4 linked regions of the Drosophila melanogaster genome follow. The gene in region 3 interacts genetically with the main gene of each other region. Each region holds a gene or a part of one and is shown on either strand. Other genes may lie near its edges.

Region 1 (4,901 bases), on a different chromosome or scaffold from region 3:
CAAGAGGCTGTGTATGAGGGCAAGGGTGAGGCGATTATCCTGAGCCCCATTTTCAACCCTACCCTCGACACTAATATTCTTGCCAGTGCACTTGTTTTGGTTGCGCTTCAGCAGTTCCAGTCCGATGTTAAACCGTTCCAGTAGATTGTCAAAGCCTCCCAACTGTCCGAAGCGGTTAATAAGATCCACAAGCCAGCCACGCGCATTCTTGGGCTCCGGCGGCGGACGGGCGTACATTTTGTTGCTGTCCAACTGACCCCAGATGTAGTCCGGCGCTGCGAAGCACTCCGGTTGACGGCCTGCGTTAAATGTGTTGAACTTGTTCTCCGGATCAAAAACAATAGCCAGCAAGTCAAGCAGATAGGGATTGTCTCGCTGCATGTGGATGGCGATTAGATGTAGAAGCTTGCCGCAAGACACAAGGATACAGTGGTGGATGTTATTCTTCCACGAATTCACCGCCTCGTCGGTTAGGATCTTGGCAAAGGAAGTGCTCAGTCCATTGCGATAAAACTCCACACATGGCTCGCAGTCGTGATCCACACCTGCAAATAAATTGACTTTAGAGGGTATCAAATAAATCGTTTGGACACACTTACCAGCCTGGGTCAGTTCGATGGCTGCATTTAAGAGAACCTCCAATTCCTGTTCAGGCAGCACCGGCACCACCCAACGCGGATTGGATATCTTTTGCGTTAGTGATCTCAGTTTCGTCGTGGGAAACGAGGATATAAGCTTCTCTGGAGGCCTATTTAATTAAATGGACAATTATTCAATATTAAAAATAACAAATTAAATAATACACATAAAAAAAAAAGTTCTTAGGGGGTCAATCAAAGCACACCCTTCCATAAACATTTCTGTTTATTAAATGGTTATTTCTATTAAAATAAATGCCAAAACGCATACATTTTTTTTTTTTTTTTTTTTGTAATTTTCAGTGTTAGCTTATTTTGATGGACAAGCGATAAGATAGGCCGTGGACGGGCATTCAAAATGAGATAGTAATAGCCGGGTAAGGTAATATTAGTAAAGCTTGGTAAGTTCATTGCTAAAACTGGACAGCAGCCAAGTGCACCTATCGAAGAAAAAGAAAGATAACATTTATTGCCACATTTATGGTCACTAACCAGTGGCCTGGCCAAAATCATCTGAAACATAGTTAAATGAATTACGAACATTGTGCTGGCCCAACCATAGACAAACAAAGAATGCATGTGGAAGAATTACTACGCAAAAGTAAACACACGAATGTTGGGGATCTTTAGGGGTGGCGGTCATACTGGTGCTACGCACAAAACCCGACTAATTGGGCGGAGTCATGCAAATACGGCAGCACGACCACTTACACTATTGTGATGGTGCTGTCCACGCTGTTCGCTGACAAGGAAGCGGCCACGTCATCAGAGCTCTGACTGTCTGTGGCCGGCTGTTGATCCTGGTTGCCGTCCAAGCTACCTGATCCTCCTCCTGGCAGACTCGAGTTGGCGACTGTTCCTGTGCCTGTTCCTATGCCCGATCCTGATCCGGCACTCTGCGCCGGACTCGTTGTGGTGGTTGTTGTGCTGGTGGTGCTGCTGCTTGAGCTGGGCGCTGTGCTTCCCGGCTGTCCGGTGGTGTGCCTACGAGTGTCGAACGTCATGGTGGCGGGGTATCCTCTCCAGCCAACTCGTTCTGCGGAGCACCGGAAGCGGATGTTAATGCACGAGCTCTAGTGCCGGGCTAATCCTAATGCGTTCTGCAGTGCGCGTCGTTTTTTGACTGGTGTCTTATGGCAAATGTGAGGTATCCGGGCTTCTGCTTGTCCAGTTTGGGAGTTCCCCGCTGATTTGCTGTTTCTTGAGGCACAGTTGGTCGGTTAGTTGGACTTCTTGCTCTGGGCTCCCTCTTATTGTCCTTTTTCCCAATGCCTGGTCAGCGGCCAGTTTGCAAAAATCTATAAAGTGCAACGAAGCGAAAGAGGCAATAAGAGGCGGATAAATACAGCGCTAAGAGAGAGACCGAAAAGGCCCACATGTGTACGAAGCTCAGTTTTGGGTGTGTGAGTGGTCCTGCGTGTGTGTAAGAGAGCGCTGGGTTGGAATATGAAAAATCAATATTATTTAATAGACGGGGCAGCAAGCGCCAAATAATGCTCCAAAAGCACACAAATTACGCTCTCACCCACTCACACGCACGCACGCTCACCCACAGAACCCTCTCTTTTTGTGTGTGCGTTTGAGTTTAATTTAAAATTGTTTTTGTTTTACGCCTCGCTCTTCATTCTTATTTATTTATTGTTATTTTTTTGGGCAAACAAAGAACATTTTCCTGCCGAAAATTACATCACGTCCAAGTTTACGGATTTTGCACTCACTCTCTATCTCTCTCCGCCCGGCATCATCCTTAAGCGGAATGTCGGTCGGTGGGTGGGAGCCACTGGTGGAAAAAGGGGCGGGGAAAGGGTGTAGGCGAAGGGTGGTGAAAATAACTACGCATAAAGTTATAGAAAGATGCCAAAATTAGCGGTTCATTGGGTGTGTCGAGGGCGGTAAATTGCTCACATTCTTTCTATAGCTTTAAAAGTTGTAAGAGATTAACGGAAGTCACCCAAGGACGGCGGCCAGTGCGGCTTTTTATTATTTTTCACTGTTTTTTCACGCGCACACACACTTCCTCACGCGCACGTACATTTATTTTTCGCAAATGGAATCGAGCGAACTGACGACCGAGTCCCAACTTTTCGCAGGCCTCAAAATGGGCGATTGCTCTTCCTTTCGCCTTTGCTCTGGACAGCGGGGAGCCCTTACTTGGCTGCGCCACTCGAAGCTAGTCGCGGTAACTATTTCGCGAATATTGAGCTTACAAATCAGCCGGCCAATAGACAAAATGGCGTCTGCCGTTGCTGTTGTTCTGCGGTCAACTCCAATTGCCATTGCTTTTTACCTGCCTGCCCGACGGCGAAGAGCTGCGTATCCTGCGAGCGTCGCGGTTGCGGCCACAGGGTTTTTTCTACCCGCTCGTTGTCCAATTCGCGTTAAATAAATTATATTTAAGCTATTTCTTTTGCTAGGGTTGTGCAGTTCGGGCGAACTAGTTATGAATTGAACCGGTTCGCGCGGTGCTTTTTACCAGAGTTATCAGGCCATGCCAAAAGCGCGCCTATCGAACTGGTTTATGTGGTACATATAAGGGACCCTAAATTTAAATTTCTGGCAATTGGGATTTCAAATAAAATCAAATCATTGAAATGCACTGTAAGAATGTACACTCTACTAGTCATGTTTAATTGTAAATAAATATATAAAAACATATAGTATTATTAATTTGATCAAATTAGAAAGCAGTCTTAGGGCCCATTATATAATCTGTAGAAAATAATTTCCTTATTTTTAATACATTTCGCATGTGCTTCTGATGTATTATCATTTTATAAATTAGTATTAATTTAAGTGCACGAACAACCTATTCGTTTATTCAGTGGTCCTACTGATAACGATAAGTCCGATATCGATAGGAGTATTGTTTTTATTTTGTTTAATGTAATATACAATACGAAGTAATTGTTTTGATTTCATGAGAATGTACGACGCGTTGGAACGCTGCCCAGGAGCCTACTGTGGGCGATCACCGCTAGGAAACAACAGCTGGAGCAGCTGCGGGGTCTGTCCCAGAGGATCTCGGGTTAATGTTCTAGCATCCTTCGGAACGGCGCCTGGAAAATAATTTACTTTTATATTGTTCAGGTGAACCAAAGTTACGCATGCTCTCCATGCCGCGACGAGTTAAGCACGTACTCCTGGCTATACCTGGGATTCATGACCATGCTGCCACTTATGATGCACTGCTTTTTCATTGACATGGACGCCAAGGATCGCAAGTGAGTGAACTAATCAAACTGGAAGAAGAACTTACTTAGTGAATTCACATAGGTTTTCGCGGAAGCAGCTGATCTTGACGGCCAGCGCTTTCGTTGAGGTTGCCATATCTGCCATCCTCGCCACCTTGCTAATGGAGCCCATGTGGGAGCTGCGCCTCTACGCCTGTGATGTTCGAAAACTTACTGACTGGTACACATTGTTTTACAACCCCAGCCCCAATTATGAGGCACGAGTCTACTGCACCCAGGAGGCAGTTTACCCATTGTAAGACCCAGCCACCCAAGGCTCCAGGTGTTCACAATAGTCACTTTAATGTTCAATTTCCAGGCAAACCATCGTGCTGGTTTTCTACTTTCTGTGCCTGGTGAACATGTTTCTCATACGCCCGCTAGTCAGCAAAATTATGGATGTGGGGGGCAGAAGCAAGGCGCCGATTTACTCGGCTCTTTACTTCCTGCCCCTGCTCACCTTTATCCATGCGTTAGGATGTGGGTTGATCTGTGAGTACTTAAGTGCTTGCTAATATTTTGGTCTTGAGATCTTTTCTTTTTCAGATTACTCCTTTCCGTACCTTAGCGTGGCCATATCCATGGTAGCCAATGCCATCCACTATTCCCTCAAACTGGATCAAACCCTAAAGGCATTGGTTCACTCGTCGGTGTGGGAGTTAAAAAACGTGGTCATCATAGGTAAGCAAAGTGCGCATTCACCATACATAAAGTATACCAGCAGCTTACTTTCCCAGCTGTGCACTGGATGTTGTTGGCCTACGGCCTCACCTCCCTGAATTACCACTATGCCTTTATGTGCTTGGTGCCCTTCCCCACACTGTTCTATATTTTGACCGTACGTTTCACGGATCCTGCCGAGTTCCGGGAGCTGGAGTCGAGAATTTGATGCGGCGACGTCCAGATGCAAATTTTTCACGCCCGGGGAACTCGTCGATCGACTGTTGTTATCTATGTGTAGTGTACGCGTCAATTAATTTATTTACATTTAGTATGTAGCTCAGACTCAGACCTGTTCCGAGTATAATTGCGG
Region 2 (8,230 bases), 600 kb from region 3:
GCGAGAACGAGGGAGAGAGATGACTAAGAGAGAGAGAGAGAGAGAGAGAGAACAATAAATCATGTAGTAAATGTGGTGTAAAGACAAAATGTATTATAATAAAAAAATATATGCTTTTGGCTTAAACACGGGTGACATAAGTTAGACATAAGAATTATTGCATTTAATTACACGATCAATTCGAATCCTATTTTAAAATATTACATAATAACCGTATAATAAGATTAATTAACAAGAAAAAGAACTGCAACGATTATTCCGTCTGTTCCACGCAATCGCCTCCATGCCTTTCCTCTAGGATTTGTCTTGGCTTTCTATTTCATTTCATTTAGTATCGATCGTATTCACCTTTTGATATATATTTTTTTTACTTTTCGGCAGAGAAAGTGCTGCTAAGTCTGATGATTTTCTGCGGTTTCCAAATATCTTAATACACATATACAGACAATAAAAAAAAATTCGCGCTTACAATTAAACGGAACAAAAACAAGACAAACATATAAAGTACACACTATTACATAAGAACAAATAATAATCCGCAGTTTTGCTGATCGATCGATCGTTCTAAGGTTTCCGTTCCTCTGGATTGCAAATTGGATAATTGGGTTATCGTCGTGTGGTATTTATATGTGGTGAGGGCATTCCAAAAACTTATGTTTGATGGTGGTATTTGTGTTTACGTTTTCTATCAACTTGTTAAACTCTAAAGAACGACGAGCATCGAAGTCTGTTTAATGCCAGATCAAGGCCAAAGCAATTTCTCGTCAAATTTCGCATTGCATGTGCACTTACTATAACCATTTAAATTGCGCTTGCATCTATGCTTTTATCTCTGCTATCTGTATTTTATCGGTTTTGTTTGTTTGTTTGTTTGTGTTTCTATTCTGTTTGTTTCTATTTTGCTCTTCCATCCGTTCCATTTTTTTTTTGTTACTGTGGTCTATATATCTGCTATGATCTGTTGCGATCGTTGCTCCAATCCGTTTTGTTATCAGCTACTGATGGCTAAACTAAGAGTTTTTAAATCTTGTTTTTCTTTCTGCTTACATTAGTGTATATATATATATATATTATGTATATATTTATATGTATCTGCGTGTGTGCGCTGATCATCACACGCCATCATCGAATCACTTTCTATCTTAAAATCCAATTATCATTTATCAATTATGTATATATATATATAGATATATATATATATATATTGTTGCTTTTTGTTCCATCGCCAACTGAAGGGGTATGGTGAAAGTATAAGTGAGTGTGTTTGTTTGGGGAAATTGGGTGGCAGGAAAATGGATTCTCGAAGCATTTGTATTAGGCTGTTGTCAGTGTTAGTGTTAGCGGTAGTTCCGTAGGCTGGCGGTCCAACCGATATTATAATTCCATGTCCCTGGCCTCATCCTCACTGTAGTCGGACATGCTCGACTCGCTGTCGCTGCTCTCCCGCTCCTGCTGCGCCGCCCGCAACGCGTCCTCGGTGGCATAGCGCTGCACATAGTCGGCCACCTTGCGATGATACTCCTCCGGCTCGTGCAGGTACAATGCGGCCGCATCCCGATTGAGCGGATCGACCGGATTGGGATATGTGAGCAGCTGCGGCAAGAACGATTCAAATATGTTCGATAGATCGTACAACGCCGTCCAGGCCTGATTGATAACATCCAGGCACACCGTACCCGAGGATTCGTCAATGTTCGGATGGTAGATCTTGTTCACAAAACCAATGCTCGGTGACTTGAAGGGATAGTTGTCGGGCAGGTAGACGCGCACCTTCCACACGCCGCCCTCGTAGGGCGTCTCCGTTGGACCGAAGAACTTGACGTGGAACTCGTTGAGGCCTCCCAGGATGGTCACCTCGTGCTTTGATTCGATCAGCTTGATCACATCGTTGTCCATGCGTCGCTTTCCGGCACTGGGCGAGGACATTTTGTTGGTTTATTTGGGATTGTAGTTGCCTGGCTTTTGATTTGATTGGTTTGGTTTGATTTGATTTGGTTTTGGAGTGGTCGTCTCCTCGTTGTTTTTCACTAAGGCTAAGGCGGTGTTATCTTTGTTATCTATAAGTTGTATGCTTAATGTTGTTCCTTTGAAATATTGCTATTGAGTTACATCCGCTATCCGCTTCCGGTTGCCCAGCTGCTGCTCCGCCAGCCACGAACTGCTCCGCATTCGTCAACTCTCACTGGCACCGTCCAGAGCAAAACGGGAGCTGCCTGCAATGGCAATTAATGGACACAAGGATAAGCAAGGATATTCAAATTAGAGATAGGTCAGGTGGTGTCATCTATAGCATAGAGACATCAACTTAAGGAAGTATTGGGATGTTACTTGAATACCTATTTACAATTTTGCTTTCTAAGTTTATAGTTTTTCAGACGTTATGGAGTTAAAAATATAGATAGGATATTTTTAAGGAATAAATATATTAAATTTTAAAGTGTTCCTAACATTTCTAATTTTATCCTTTTTTATAAGATGTTCTCTAAAAATGCACATTTAATTACTGGTAATTTTATCACGCAAAAGTTTAACTTAGCCAATTGGGACTGTGGCGCCAAGTCAGGGGATATGATCTGGAGGAGGTCGAGTTACCTTCTGAGTTATCTATGTCCCGTATATATATTTATATTCATGGTTATGTAGGTCACCAGCGAATCTCTTGCTCTCGCACACATACATAGAGAACATGCACATGCATACTTGGCCTAAATGAGGAAACTATGTCAGCAATCTGTGACGTCGTCGCCCAAATCCACCCACTACCACTCCCGCTTTCTCTCTCCAGCTCTCTCACTCTCATTGCCATTTGCAAAAATCGCCGTCCTTCGAAACGGATTTCAGCGGACTTTTGCTGCATACTTTCGGGATACCGTTATGCTCTATTCCCCTCCCCTCCACAGACTCTTTCATCCTTTCTCTCACCACTCACTTGCTCTTGGCGATTTCGTTTCAATTTCAATTCCGTTTCCCGTTTCGGTGGGTGAGGGCTTTTGTGCTAGTTGGTTGGTTGGGTGGCTGTTGTTTTCAAACAAGCTCAGCTGTTTAATGTTGTTGCTCAAAAGTCACGGAGCACTGCCAGAGAGAGAGAGAGAGAGAGCCAGAAAGAGAGTAGAAGAGGGGCAGCCCCACCGCAATCTTGAAATCAACAAATGTACAGTGGGGATGTGAGAAACATGAGCAGATCGATCAGCAACGTAAATCAAACGAACGTTACGGAATTATGAAAACTGTTACACAAATTTCAGGAAAAATAAAATTTTCAAATTATAATATATTCTTTCTGAATATATCGCTTTACCCCACTGTGCCCCATTCTATGGCTCTCCCTCTCTCTTCACCACTCTTCTACGCTTTGGGATGAGCTAATTCTGCTGTTACTGCTGTTACTCTCTTGTACTTTGTCAAGTGTTTGTATGTGATTGTATGTTTCTGTGTGTGTGTGTGTGTGTGTGTGCGCTGGCTCCCCTATCGCCCCCTATCTCTTTTTTTCCTTATGGCCACCACATATCAAAAATCTTTCCGTTTCTGTCTTTCTGTCACGGTTTGGCTTCGTTAGTTTAACAAATTGTGAAATTCTCTTTCGATTTCTGTGTGGAGAAGCATTACTGTGCCTGTTGTTTTTGCTTTTTATTGGCCTTACTGTACGCAATAAGCGAAGTAATACTGTCTCTCGTCGCTGTCGCTGTTGTTGCCTTTGCATTGCATTGCTTTTGTGCAAGACTCTTGAGTGGAAGTGGAAGTGTGCGTGTGTACTTGTGATGCCACCACATGGAAGATCACCAAGCAACCAAGTCAGCAGCAGCAACATCAATAATAAACAAACAAAATAATAAAAGTCAGCTGCAATTTGATGCTTTTGTTGTTGTCTCTTGGAGGTGGAATTCTTTTCACTCTTTATGAATGTCTTCATTTATAATATCACCATTGGCATCACCGTTAAATAATCACACACTTATTAAATATTTAAATTTAAACTTTTTGCAAATATACCTATATAAGACGGATTTTTGTGACTTTGTTATTTACTTGCAACTATTGTTGTGGTTTTTGGTGATGATGTTTTTAGTTGTTGCTGGCCCTCCGTCTCCCCTATCCACATATATCAGCCTACATATGTGTGTGTTTTCGTTTTCGCTCGTTTTGTTGTCTACTTCAACTAGTTACTGAAAATTAACTGGCAACAGAGTTTCGAGCCCCCAAAGCAGAAAGCAGAAAGCAGCGCACGTTGGAGCTCACGAGCATCTGACGGCGACAGCGACGCCAGCATAAAGCAGAGAGCGACAATCGGGAGAGCAAGCGCAAAAGAGAGAAGGTTGGTGGGGGCTGACGGGTGGAAGAAGAGGGACGAGGGAGAGAGAGATTGCTGAGTGCAGTACACGGGAAAAACTAAACTGCGATTCAATTTCAAATTAGAAATATATTTGCGTATGGCAGCTCCAAACACTTAATGAGTACTTAAATAAAGGCAATATAATTATAAAAAAGTAATAAAATAGTTACCAAATTCCTCATATAAACATATTGAAAACGGTGAAATAGAAACAAAATGTAGTCTGCCGAATATATTGCATACTTCAAGGCAAAACCAGATGGTAAATGGAATAAATTTGTTAGCTTCTTTACGTTAAATTTTTAACTTCTTATGTGGCTCTTTTTTCTTAGTGTAATGGACCCCCTTCAAAGGAAAATCATAATAACAAAGCGATGAGCAACAACAAATTGGACGAAGAGAGCCCCTAAAGTAAAGCAAAGCAAAGCAAAGAAAAGCTATAATCAAGGACAGCGACAGCTGTGAAATGCAGCAAAGGCAAAGCAAAGCCAGAAAAACAAGAAGCTAGAGAAAGAAATGAAACGGGAAATGGTAATAGGAGGGGGAGTGGGCTGAAAGGGTAGAGAGACGGGAGAGGCTAAAAAGCCGAAGTGGCGATGCCCTTCAAAATTGCACACATGTCACTGCCTTAGTGTGTGCGTGTGGAGCCTAGCAACAAAATATATACAAATACACATGCCAAAAGCAAATGAAGGAGGAGATTTAACGAGGTCAAATGCAACGGTTAAGCGAAAGGTTCGAAAGCAAACTCAAAATCAAAGTCAAAAATTAGGAAGACGTCTTAGTGGATTTCGTTTTTCGTGTTTTTGCAACCTCCCCCCACACATGCATAATGGGTCATTGACTGCACATGTGTGTGTGTGTACGCTTGTGTGGGGGAGGGGCAGAAAATGGTAGCAAATTGTTGTTGATGTAAAAGCATTCAATTTATTACTCAGCTTTAAAGCGCACATTTAATTGTTCGTGCTGATAAGACTTTTGAAACGCAAAACAGGGGGAGAATCGAAAACACAACGCAATAAGCAGGCCAAAAGCAAAGTGCGTAGTTTTCGGGTAGGTGGGGTAGGGTGGTGTGCAAAAGGGATGGCAATAGCACAACAAAGAAAATATTGCAACTAAGCTAACGGGGGAAGTTATAGAGATCCACATGTATATGTATATGTACAAATGCACGTTCTCAGCTTAGGGCTCCCGACTAACGGCGAATTGCTGGAAACAGAGGTAAATATGTATGTGGCGATTGGAAGTTTGATTTTGAATTCAAGGCAGCAGAATGCGAAATTAGAGAGAGAGGGCGATGGGGATTGCGGGCGCCAAAGAGAGATGGAAAACATTCACAGCTGTGCGGGGGTCAAACTGCTATTGTTGTTGTTGTTCGTCTATGGCTGATGATGTTGTTGTCGCACTCTCCCACACACACACACACTCGCAAATATCCGGGATATATTTTAAATATAAAGTAATTCTATTTTTCATCAAACAATTATGCATACACACACATATTCTGTACCTTTTTATTTTGATTTCTCTCGGTGTGTGTATATTTGCAGTTGCCTCCCGTTTTAGTTGTATTGTTGTTATTGTTGCTCGTGGGTGGTGTTATTGTGGACTGACGGTCGCCGTCGATTCTTACGCTTCGATACTTCTCCACATTTCCGTTTAATCACCGTGATTCCCTGTGCATTTTCCTAGATACTTCGTGTCTAATTACTTAATTAATTTTGTTTTGTTTTCCGGAATATGAAAGACTTGGAAAATTTGTAGTGTGACCAGCGCCTGCAGAGTGTGACCATTGATGACCGTTAAAATATACCGCAAGATTCTCAAAATATACCACTGAACAAAAGTGGTTCAAAGCTTCAATGGCCACAAGTCGAGTTTCAAACCTAAATTATTCTGCGTACAATTTTCAAAAAAAATCAGCTTTCAGAATTTGAAATTTAAACTCGTTGAATGTATACTTGAATTTTTGCATTTATTATTTTCATCTCTTACAATTGTAATTTCGTTCCGTTACATTTTGAATGCGTTTATTAAAACTTGTAATTTGTTTGGTTTTCTGTATTTAGGATCTCTATTTCGTGTTAAAAAATGAGAGGATAACAATCTTTTAAATTAGCTCTATTTGCTTGACGTAAAACGTGTTTGTTTTTGTTAACGTAGTACTTTTAAACATCAATTGTTTTTATTGCAGCTTCGTTTACTCTTTGCCTTATTGTTTTTATTTATTTCTTTTATTTTTCTTGCAAATACCGAGAGTGTTATTTAAATTCAAAATCGAAAGGTACAATTCGTGGCTAATATTGGTTTTAGTTTCTGATTTAGTTTAGTTTTTAACTGTTTGTAAATACTCCTATTCGTTATGAAACTTGGCAAATTAAATTCGTTCATGAATCAGCGCAGCTTGTCTCAATTTTAATATTAATTTAAAAATTAGATCCATACAGGGGTTTTTAAATAGATCTTTTAATATTATGCTCATGCGTTTTGATTAAAATTGGTTTCTTAAACAATATAACAATGGGAATCTCTAAAACTTAAATCAAATTGGATCGCAATGGTTTTAAGGGGGGAAACCACAATAGAAATTTATGGCAAAATGTTGAATTTTATAATTACGTTAACTTTTACTTCAATTCAGGCTGAGGCGAATTTTCAATTTTTTCCTAAGCTATAGGCAGTGTTTTCTAAACCACTTTTCGTTAACTGAAGGGGGTGAAAACTTAAAAGGGTATTGCTTTTTTAAAGTGGAATGATATCAAGATTTCTATACTACGTTTAAGGTAACCAAATCCAATGAAGAATATATATCATATGTGGTTTCCGCCCTCTAATTTTGTTTCATTACTAATCTGGTCTAAAATGTTAATTTTCATTTGAGCTTCGTTGTTTTAACTTTTAAGATTTATAACTGTGACGTAACAATAACAAAGATAGGCCATTGAAATCTGTCCAAAACTCTTTATGTTGTTATCTTGTTGGCTGTATGTGTTTATATAGAGATAGATATAACTTATCCCAGCGGATCGTGCTATCAGAAATAAATACAATATTCCTGCTTTGAAACTAGATTGAGAGGTCCTAGGCCTCTTCGAATCTAACTACTAAATAACATAACAAATACAATAGAGTTGCCTTAAAATTAAAATTTAAAATTATGGATCTTTTCGTTGGATCCGCTGGGAATTTTGTGTTGTTATTTTTTCTTGATAAATAGTGAGAGATATATAGAGAAAATGTGGCTGGTTTGCTGGAGGTTAAAACCCTATAGTTCAGAAAGAAAAGGTATTAACAAGTATTACAAAAAAAAATAAAACTGGTACTGCAATAATTTGTTTTAATATAATTCGGAATTCTGTATACCTTCAAAATGCAAGTGCCACAGTGTGTTCGTGTCTTTTAGTGAGTGAGAAATGCAAATGGTTGTCCTAACTTTCAATGCTCTTGCATAGTTAATTATTTTCAATTTCCAGCCTCCTTAGCCTCCAATTAATAAGTATTTGAGCTTTAACAATTGTCAATGATTTCCTGTTCGGCTTAGTTCTCCATCTCATAGATTATATAAACAAATTTAACATTATATGCTCGTTACATTCGAATCGATTTGGATTTTGCTAGCTGCAAATACTGCGATCATACATCGTTAATATATCAATTGTTTACTTGTAGATTGCAATTAACGTTTCATTCGCATTCGCCATGAATGTATATTTTCATTATAGGTGTATAATTAGGCTATAAATATTATATTCCTCGAAAGATTTCATTCTTTCTTATGCTTCCATCTTCTTTTGTTTTGTCAAAATTTTGAATTCCAAACAAATGGGCAATTGGAACTATAAAAATTTAAAAGTGAGGCTAATCTCTGACTCTGCTTCTGGCTAAAATTGTCCCTGGCTA
Region 3 (4,239 bases):
CTCTTGGCTCTGCTTTTTTAGATTGCCTATCATGGATTGGTCTGCAGGAGCTGAGCAAACATTATTACACGTACAAGGGTTCGCTGACAACGGCGCCGTACTTTGAGAGTGTCACCTGGATCATATACCGCACCCCCATCTATGTGTCTCGCGGCCAGGTGCGTGTTTTTCTCACCAAGATGATCCCCCAAATACTTTCATTTGGAACACTAAATTTGAGAAACCTCTTTTGATTTGCAGGTTCAGGTGTTTCGCAATTTGCAATCGTGTCCCAAAGATGAGTCCAAAAAGATAGTCAACAATTATCGCGAGATCCAGCGTCCGCACAAGGATCCGGAAATCTTCTTTGCGCGCAACACCAATCCAAAGTCCAAGTTATAATGTGCTTGCCATATGACTTGGATACAATTCTACAATTCCCGCTCCCGCTGACTTTCCTTTTTCCAACCTTTCGCGCAATTTTCTCCGCCCAATCGCCTATCTAAACTATAGCTATGTGTAAACATTTATCTGTCTATGGTTGTCTGTAAGCTGCTTTTGTTATTTGCCTCATGTACATAGCGTTATATACCTAACAAAACATACATATACATACATACATATATATATATATATATATATATATATATATACGGAGTATTTACGATACGGATACGTGTATGGAATTTTAGTCGGAGCACGCGGTTGCCTTGCATTGAATATTTCAGAGAAATATCGGGCACAACTACTTAAGACATCTACAAGAGACGTAATCCTAACGTTTAAGTTATTAAGATAAACAGTGAAAGCGAGAAAAAGAGGAAAATAAGAACAGTAAATCAACACATTTTGTATGTCCAAACTGAATTTATTAAACATCTAATTAAACATGTATAAAAGTATCAAAAAGTCATTATTAATATTAAAATGCTTATGTTAATAGGAAGAATGGATTAAACCTATGCAAACATTTTTGTCACAATACGTGCTTTTTGGGCACCATCTTATTTTTCGAGTAAGAGAGGCACTATGTTCTGGATAAACCAGGCCTTGGATATGGCCAAGTGATCACCTTCGACGCCGAGAAAGACAAGTTGTCCTTGTCGATGCATCTTGTCCAGTCCCAGCTTTAGGAAAAAATGTACATTTCATATTAGAACGTTAGGTGATAGATATGCATACGTACATCCTGATAGACTTTGCTCTCAGTAAAGGGCTGGATGACTTTGTTCTGCCCAGTGGTGTAGTATTGAAACCACTGGGACTCCTTCGGCTGGACAATTGTGTCGTTTAGGAACTGCACCATCACAAATCTGCAAAGCAGAGGTTAATAATATTTGATAAATGTATAAGTATAATACGCGCTTACTTCTTAAGCTTTTGCAGATTCTCAATGTAGAACTTGTTGATGAAGAGCTCGTTGTTAATGTCCGCGAGAAATGTGCTGCCCAGGCGGTATTTGTTCTCCATGATCGGGTCGTGCCAGTAGGTGGCCTGAACCAATGCCTTCTGCACTTCACTGGGTGTATGGTATGCAAGAGAGAAGAGAGAATTAACACGGAAACGACAAGGATGGCGACATGGTGGTGTTGGATTAATAAGCATGTAAATTCCAGGAATTATATTATATTAGGATTCCTTAACAACAGATAGACTCACGGTGCGTAGGCGGCGTTGTCCAGTAGCCTCGTGATATAATCACAGGGCTTTTCGGTTAAGGTGGGGCACATGGGCAGTCCGAAGATGCCCTGGTGCTGCCCACCGAGTGTGATAAGGTTCCTCATTGGCGGATTCGGGCAACGTTCGGCAACCGCACGCAGAAACTGGCCGCCTTGCGAGAATCCGATGGCGTGGTATCCCTTGGCCAGGTGCTCATCCTGCAGTAGTTGCTTGCAAACGTAATCCACCTGTTCGTTGGGATGTATGAAGAAGCCGCTCTGCCAGTCTATCAAAACATTGCCGCCGATCTGCAGGGATCGCACATAGCCGCCCTTTGTTTGCTCCACGATCAGGTTCATAATGGCACCCAGGCTGAAGGGTACGCAGCAGGTGTCGCCCATTCCGTGCCACAGAACGACCGGCAGGACCTCCGGATTGGTTCCTCCTTTCGTCGGGCTCCACCATATGTAGCTCAGCACGAGGGAAAAGATCAGGAACAGCAAAAATAAAATGCATGAAAAACGAGAACAGCAGATAGAAATCATTGTTGTTGGAGTGCAATTTTTGCAAATCAAATTAGTCGTCTGCTATCGATAATATATGGTTCGATAATATAATCGGGATATTTCATGTACGGGATGTACCTGGTCTTATTTATACCTAAAGGTAATTTCGTACTGCGTGCTTTAACGCAACATGAAAAATACTGCAACTATTTTTCCTTTCAAGGCAACAGGCTTGACTATATAACTGTTCAATTAGGTGCATTTTTCGAAGCCCTCGTCTACATTGCTGCATTTATTGGTACTTTATTGTGCAGCTGTGAACAGAAAATTTACATTTTCCAACACTGGCGTCTAAGCAAAAGTAGAATGTTGTGAATACCCCGAACGGTAAACAAATGCTAAACAGCTGATAGCAATAACACATTTTATTCAGCGAGTTTGTTTCTTTCGATTTAAACTCGAGTTTTAATGTGGTTTACTATTTAAACGTGACAAAGTACTATTGTTAAGTATGCCAAAACACGGCTTAAGTTGTTTATAAAACCGGATGCTGGCTCATAACCTAGGTTTCCATAAAAAGCGCCTTTTTTCAAACATGAAGGCTGTTTTACAGGATCGGGGTGTCATAGGCTTATCCCTCGAAGAATGCGATTTGGAAAGAACTTTGCTTGGAGGACAGAGTTTCCGGTAAGCGCTATCCATACTAATAATGAACATATGTACTCAAAACAACTTTACATGCCAGATGGCGATCCATATGCGATGGTAATAGAACGAAATATGGCGGAGTGGTGTTCAACACCTACTGGGTGCTCCAGCAAGAAGAATCCTTCATAACTTACGAGGCATACGGAACCAGCAGTCCTTTGGCCACGAAGGACTATTCTTCCTTGATATCTGACTACCTACGTGTTGATTTCGACCTAAAGGTCAACCAAAAAGATTGGTTAAGCAAAGATGATAACTTTGTGAAGTTCTTGAGTAAGCCTGTGCGCCTCCTTTCTCAGGAGCCGTTCGAAAACATTTTTAGCTTCCTTTGCAGTCAGAACAATAACATCAAGCGGTAGGTGGTTCAATCAAATGCGAATCCCATCATTAAATACAGTAAATTGGTTTCTTCTTAGCATATCATCTATGATTGAATGGTTTTGCGCTACATTTGGCACCAAGATTGGTCACTTCAATGGTGCCGATGCGTATACATTTCCCACGATAAATAGATTCCACGACATCCCATGCGAGGATCTTAATGCCCAGCTAAGGGCTGCCAAGTTCGGTTATCGGGCCAAGTTCATAGCACAAACGCTGCAAGAGATCCAGAAAAAGGGGGGACAAAACTGGTTCATAAGCCTAAAGAGCATGCCGTTCGAAAAAGCTCGCGAGGAGCTGACACTGCTACCCGGAATCGGATACAAAGTGGCCGATTGCATCTGCCTTATGTCAATGGGTCACTTGGAGTCAGTGCCCGTCGACATTCATATTTACAGAATTGCCCAAAATTACTACCTGCCACATCTAACCGGCCAAAAGAACGTAACCAAGAAGATTTACGAAGAGGTCTCGAAACATTTTCAAAAGCTACACGGAAAGTATGCCGGTTGGGCTCAAGCTGTAAGTACACTGAAAGTTGCAATTTAGTCTGTGTGTTTCTTATAATATCATTATTTCAGATTCTCTTTTCTGCCGATTTGAGTCAATTTCAAAATACTTCCACAGTTGCTTGTAAGAAAAAATCCAATAAAAAACCTAAAAAGTGATCTTATCTATTGGATTAAAAAAAAAAATATTCCTACTTGTAATATTTGAATATTAAAATATAATAGAAATGTATATACTAATGTATATATAAATATATATCTAAACAGAGAAAGAACTTGATACTGGGTTTCATATATCTTTTTTTTATTGCTAAACAGATGTAATTGATTAAATAAAGTGTACATTAAATGTCCGTTTTGTATATACATCGCCATATTTATGTGTACAGATTGCGCTCGAATTTGAAATTTAGGATATTCAAAATGTGTTGTGTCCGTTTTAGAAATTCATCACCTAAGGAAACCACTTTTAGATACGCATACAGATGTTTAGGATA
Region 4 (5,319 bases), on a different chromosome or scaffold from region 3:
CTTGACATGTGCAACAAACGAGATGCCGTGCTCTATCTTCCTTACTCTGCTGCTGGTCCCACGCATCCTTAGCGAAGTGACTCTGGTCGATGTCATGCTTGTTTTCTAGATGCAGCGACAGCTTTTCTACACTGGGATACACATGATTACAATATAGACAAATGTAACGACGGTGGACTTCACGCATGTGGAGAAAAAAGTGCCAGCACTGGTGAACGCTGCAACACTGGGAGCAACGAAAGAATCGCTCCTGCTTCTGCGATAGCTGGGAACTATTCGCACTTTGGATCCCGCTGCACTGGGCCTGGTGCTTGTTCAGCTCCTGAAACCTTTCGAAATCGAACTGCAAATTGCACTTTGCACAACTAAGGACTTGTTGAGACTCCGTAGAGATGGCAGGCGGAATAACATTAGAGTTGCTCTGAAGGCGTTGCAGAAGCAGCGAGGAAACGAAGCCACCTGCCTCCACCTTTGTTTGTTTTTCGGGTTGGCTGACGGAGGAACTCTTGCTGCGCCTGCGCTTCAGCGAAAGCTTCAGAGCCGGCGGTTTGGCATTGTGCTCGCTCTCTGGATGATCGATGACCAGATGCGGCTGCGAAGCAGAGCTTACAGTGCTGCTCCTGCTGCTTATACTTCTGCTACGGGTGGTACCAACGGGTAGAATCAGGGGAAGCGCTGACACCTGAGAAGCGGTAGTGTCCTCCTCCTTAGTGTTGTTGCCAGTGTGGTTTGTTATCACAGACTGTTCCTTGGGGTCTTCCAGCTCTTCGCCGGGATCCTCGACCTCCTCGACCTCCCCGTCCTCGAGCTTCTCTTCTTTCAAAGCTTTATGTGCCCCATTGAGTTTTATCAACGGAACGACCTCTACAGTATGTTCTTTCAACTTGACACTATCACTGTGTGCTTCATCTTCCATATCAGACTCGATTTTAATGACATTAGGGGGCGCTCCGTCTTCGCTGCATGGAAGATCTACATCCATTGTCAGCGAAGGAGAATCCAGTGTATCGGATCCCTCTAAAGAAGGTACACCAATTGTTTGCGATGTAGTCTCATCCACTTCTGGCGGTGCAGTGGAAGCGTATTCACCAACGTCAGCTTGGTAAAGATCTCCTGAAGTCTGACTCTTTTCTGTCCCTCCTTCAATCTCCAAAACAGGACTCTCATTATCTTTAATTGATATGAACTCTTTATCCCCACTTTCAGAATCTGTTTCAAGATTTATCACTGGCGGGGTGTACACTGTTTCCTCAATTTCGCTTTCGGAATCTTCATTTGCTGATTGAAAATACTTATCCTCCACTTCATTGCTGTCAGATTCTTTTGGCTGGAAGTGGTCCACCTTTTCATCGATTTCGGACTCATGATTTGCCCCTAAAGACTCTGAGGGCTGCTCTTCCGAATCCGTTAAGAACTCCATATGGGTCTCACTTAAGGAATCCGATTTGTCCTCCACTTCGGTCTTTAGTTCAATATCATCTAAGAACTGCTCATTAAGTGAGATGCTGGTTGGTTCTTTGAGTTCCTCCGATTTGTCTTCGACAAGCTCTTGCTTTACGAGATCTTTAGAGGGAGAGCCAGTTGTCAAGCAATTTGCTCCTAAATCGACTGGTGTATCCGTGCTTTTTCGTGAATTAAGAAGAGATTCCTCTGCCTGCTCTGCCTCTTCCGTTTCGGCTGTCTCCTCCGTTTCGGCTGTCTCTTCCGTTCCGGTCGTCTCTTCTTCAGGTGTGTCTTTGAAACCCTGGCCATTTGCCATGGTTACATCTATCACGTCATCGTTCTTTTTCGGCTTCCCATCTTCATTTCCCTTAGCGTTGTTGTTCTGTCCATGTTGGTGGCTCTCGTTTTCCTCCTTCGCCTGGTCCAGCACATAATGAAGTTCTTCGATGTCGTCTTCTTCGCCAGCAGCTGCACCTGCCCCGGTGCCCTCTTCCGATCCCGTTTCCGATCCTCTTCCCGCTTCTCCATCATCTCGGTTAGACGTTAGCTTGGCTTGTTGCTGATCCAATGCTTCCATCATATTATCTGCAATCACACGCTGTCAGCAAAAAACAATAATAACATTTAAGAAAAGAGGAGAAAAACAAATAATCAGAGCGCTATTAATTAAACGCACTTTAGACAAAAATTGTTATATTCATTACCTTTGCATGCCGTTGGCGTTGAATCCGTTCCGGTTCTCGCTATTTTTCTTGTATGCTTTTCGTTGTTCTTTACGCAGCTGAAAGCGAAATGAAACGAATTTATTATTACGAGATATTGGGTTTGGTATTTCGATAAAAAAAAATTAGAATGACAGCAAAGGCTAAATGTTTATGCGGGGGTATACACGATAAATTTTTCAGAATATTAACGGCATAAACATTTGTATTGCACAAAAATCGCCGGTCATTGGTTGATCTTGCAGCCCTGGTGCAAACGAAAAGTCAAAATAATTGAAAATACCAAAATAAATGTTAACAAAATGGCAACGTGAGAGCCACTTACTGCTAAAAATAAACGAATTTACTTGAAATATTCTTGGAATGGACACTACAATCAAAATGTACAGCAATTATGCACGTTTATTTACCTGCTCTCCTCCTATGCGTTGCTGTTGTTTTGTCGGTTCTGCTCAGCGTATTATTGCTGTTGTTGTTCTTGTTGCTGTACCCTGCTTAGGTAGAATTTTCCCACAATTTGTAGGCGGCAGAGGGAGAGAGAGTGGGAAGGCAAGAGAGGGAGAGAAAGAGCGATGAATTTTACGCGCGCAAACAGCAAGGAGAGAACGTAGCCAAAACAACAACCGATTTCACGGAAGTTCGCTGCACAACTGAACCAAAAAGAGACCGAAACCGAGAGAATTTGCCCAGCGGATTGGATTGGACGAGCCGAGACGGCTCGGAAGGAGAGCGGGGCGCCCCCACCCCACGGCGAACTTATACAATTAACGCCTGGTTTCAATTGTTTATAAACTCGCAGGACTCGCATACGTAATGCAAACAGATTTCACAAGTGCACCCAATTGCCGTTGGGCTTAGTTTCGACCAGAAGCACAATGATATTGTCGAATTGCTTTTTTGCCTTTTTGCGCGTCTCTTGTGCGGGGTAAAAAATGTTCTTCTTTTTGAACGTCGCCGTCCACGCTTTGCATTTTACGTTCTGCTCGATTTGTTCGCGCTCTTTTTCACCGTATTTTAGTAGCTGCACATTGGGTAGCGTATGGGGATTGGATATTTCACAATTTGGCTGCGGAGAGAGCTCGAATAAAGCGTGAAAAACAAGTTTTTAGCAATATTTTTCGCCTTTTTTACAGCCATGCCATTGAAACACGCGCAGAAGCTAGTGATGGACGATAGTTCGATAGCTGGCGCAGCGTGTTGGTGTGACTGCCAAAAATGCAACCGTGTGACAGGCATCGCTGTGCTTTTCCCTTGCGGTTCAATGTAAGCATATCGATACTTGGCCAGTACCAGCAATTATTGTTAAAATCTTATTTACACGGGCTATTTAAAAATATTATCTTGAGTAATTATCTTAATTTTAAACGAACCATTATAGCACGTCCAGTATCACAGTGGATCAATCATAACTAATATTCGTAGTTAGCTATCGATAGTTTTTTCCATCCCTGAATCGAGGTTCAGTGTCATACCGATTTGACAAGCTCTTTCCGTTTCCTTTTCGCGTGAACGTCCAACATGAGAGCCAAGGGATTGGTTAGTATTTGCCAAAATAAATGATTTATACAATCATTATTTTAGTTTAAAATGCGTGCAACAGATAAGCAAAAACATAGCCTATTTGGCGTAATCGTTGGATTTTTTAAAACTCCGTAATTTCTGTGTAAAAAACGACATTGTCGTGGACAATGTTTGCCGAGCCACTTTTCTTAAAAATGTGATCCTATCTAACTCACAAAAGTAATTTACATAATTGTGAGAAACTATTATTCAGTACGAATTTATAACTAACTATTCAAACATATTCAATATAATAGAAATACAACTGCTTTGTGCCGCCGAAAACATAACCTTCAAAAACCAACAGCCATGCGTGTGTTTGTTTGCCTGCGACTGTTCGCATTTGTTTACAATTGTTTTATGTAGACCATTTAAACTAATCCAAATCCCATTTGCAGTTGAAGGAGTACGAGGTCGTGGGCCGCAAGCTGCCCAGCGAGAAGGAGCCCCAGACTCCCCTCTACAAGATGCGCATCTTTGCCCCCGACAACATCGTGGCCAAATCCCGCTTCTGGTACTTCCTGCGCCAACTGAAGAAGTTCAAGAAGACCACCGGCGAGATCGTGTCCATCAAGCAGGTGTACGAGACGTCGCCCGTGAAGATCAAGAACTTCGGCATCTGGCTGCGTTACGATTCCCGCTCGGGCACCCACAACATGTACCGCGAGTACCGTGACCTGACTGTCGGCGGTGCCGTCACTCAGTGCTACCGCGACATGGGAGCCCGCCACCGTGCCCGTGCCCACTCCATCCAGATCATTAAGGTGGACTCGATCCCTGCCGCCAAGACCCGCCGCGTGCACGTGAAGCAGTTCCACGATTCAAAGATCAAGTTCCCTCTGGTCCAGCGTGTCCACCACAAGGGCAACAGGAAACTGTTCTCGTTCAGGAAGCCCAGGACCTACTTCCAGTAGGATTCTCCTGCATCCTATACCTATGACTTAGTGGATTTTTTCAATAAATGAGAACGTTGAAGAGTACACTAGTTGTGAAAGCTTCTTTATTTGAGTTCTCCACAGGAGTATATGACAATCTTTTGGCTGGGAGTGCCCGACTTGGAGCCACAACGTTCCATCTTGCGCACCACCTCGGCGCCACTGATGACATGGCCAAAAACGACGTGCTTGTTGTCCAGCCAATCTGTTCTGTAGAACAAAAGAAATGTAATTAGTAGAAGGAAATATTTCAGTTAAATTATTTATTGTAAAACCAGCTTACTTTGTGGTACATATAAAAAACTGCGAGCCATTTGTGTTGGCGCCCGAGTTGGCCATTGAAAGAGTTCCAAAACTGTTGTGTTTCAGATTGAAGTTCTCATCGTTGAACTTTTTGCCATAGATGGACTTGCCGCCGGTGCCATTGTTGTTGGTGAAGTCGCCTCCTTGACACATCTTTTGAATGGAAAGAATGCATAAATGAAGAAAACTATGCCAAATTATTATCTTACAAACTCGGGTATCACGCGGTGGAAGGAGCAGCCTTTGTAGCCGTAGCCCTGCTCGTGGGTGCACAATTGCCGAAAGTTCTCCGCCGTCTTCGGCACCACATCTGCCCGGAGGAGCATCACAATGCGACCGGCGTCATTGCCACCAAT

Evidence for each region.
Region 1: of Ppt1 (region 3) and faf, changing one enhances a phenotype caused by changing the other (phenotypic enhancement), as found in Drosophila melanogaster (one study listed by BioGRID).
Region 2: of Ppt1 (region 3) and UbcE2H, changing one suppresses a phenotype caused by changing the other (phenotypic suppression), as found in Drosophila melanogaster (one study listed by BioGRID).
Region 4: of Ppt1 (region 3) and MESR4, changing one suppresses a phenotype caused by changing the other (phenotypic suppression), as found in Drosophila melanogaster (one study listed by BioGRID).

What each region holds. Positions count from the first base shown.
Region 1 is NT_033777.3:31,775,207-31,780,107, reverse strand, and holds the start of faf (fat facets), read right to left. Parts: upstream 3,089-4,901; 5' UTR 2,926-3,088; intron 2,866-2,925; exon of another isoform or gene 2,544-2,865; intron 2,471-2,543; exon of another isoform or gene 2,357-2,470; intron 1,937-2,356; 5' UTR 1,643-1,936; coding exon 1,350-1,642; intron 749-1,349; coding exon 600-748; intron 546-599; coding exon 1-545. Other genes in the region: CG2126 (uncharacterized protein), read left to right, coding at 3,556-3,663, 3,726-3,859, 3,912-4,124, 4,188-4,360, 4,415-4,549, 4,606-4,757. UniProt on the Drosophila melanogaster protein: Ubiquitin C-terminal hydrolase involved in development and the imd/NF-kappa-B (IMD) signaling cascade. Required for eye and embryo development, and plays a role in compound eye assembly and oogenesis respectively.
Region 2 is NC_004354.4:8,087,935-8,096,164, forward strand, and holds the start of UbcE2H (ubiquitin conjugating enzyme E2H), read right to left. Parts: upstream 6,131-8,230; 5' UTR 5,841-6,130; intron 4,180-5,840; exon of another isoform or gene 3,991-4,179; intron 2,214-3,990; 5' UTR 1,927-2,213; coding exon 1,375-1,926; 3' UTR 1-1,374.
Region 3 is NC_004354.4:8,687,797-8,692,035, forward strand, and holds Ppt1 (Palmitoyl-protein thioesterase 1), read right to left. Parts: upstream 2,432-4,239; 5' UTR 2,283-2,431; intron 2,251-2,282; exon of another isoform or gene 2,223-2,250; 5' UTR 2,184-2,222; coding exon 1,639-2,183; intron 1,499-1,638; coding exon 1,349-1,498; intron 1,293-1,348; coding exon 1,166-1,292; intron 1,107-1,165; coding exon 984-1,106; 3' UTR 831-983; downstream 1-830. Other genes in the region: CAH3 (carbonic anhydrase 3), read left to right, coding at 22-158, 241-381; Ogg1 (8-oxoguanine DNA glycosylase), read left to right, coding at 2,692-2,831, 2,890-3,207, 3,269-3,755, 3,815-3,901. UniProt on the Drosophila melanogaster protein: Cleaves thioester-linked long fatty acyl groups such as palmitate from modified cysteine residues in proteins or peptides.
Region 4 is NT_033778.4:17,545,791-17,551,109, reverse strand, and holds the start of MESR4 (misexpression suppressor of ras 4), read right to left. Parts: upstream 3,342-5,319; 5' UTR 2,576-3,341; intron 2,225-2,575; 5' UTR 2,148-2,224; intron 2,042-2,147; 5' UTR 2,024-2,041; coding exon 1-2,023. Other genes in the region: RpL18A (ribosomal protein L18A), read left to right, coding at 3,684-3,701, 4,124-4,639; cyp33 (cyclophilin-33), read right to left, coding at 4,726-4,870, 4,944-5,116, 5,173-5,319.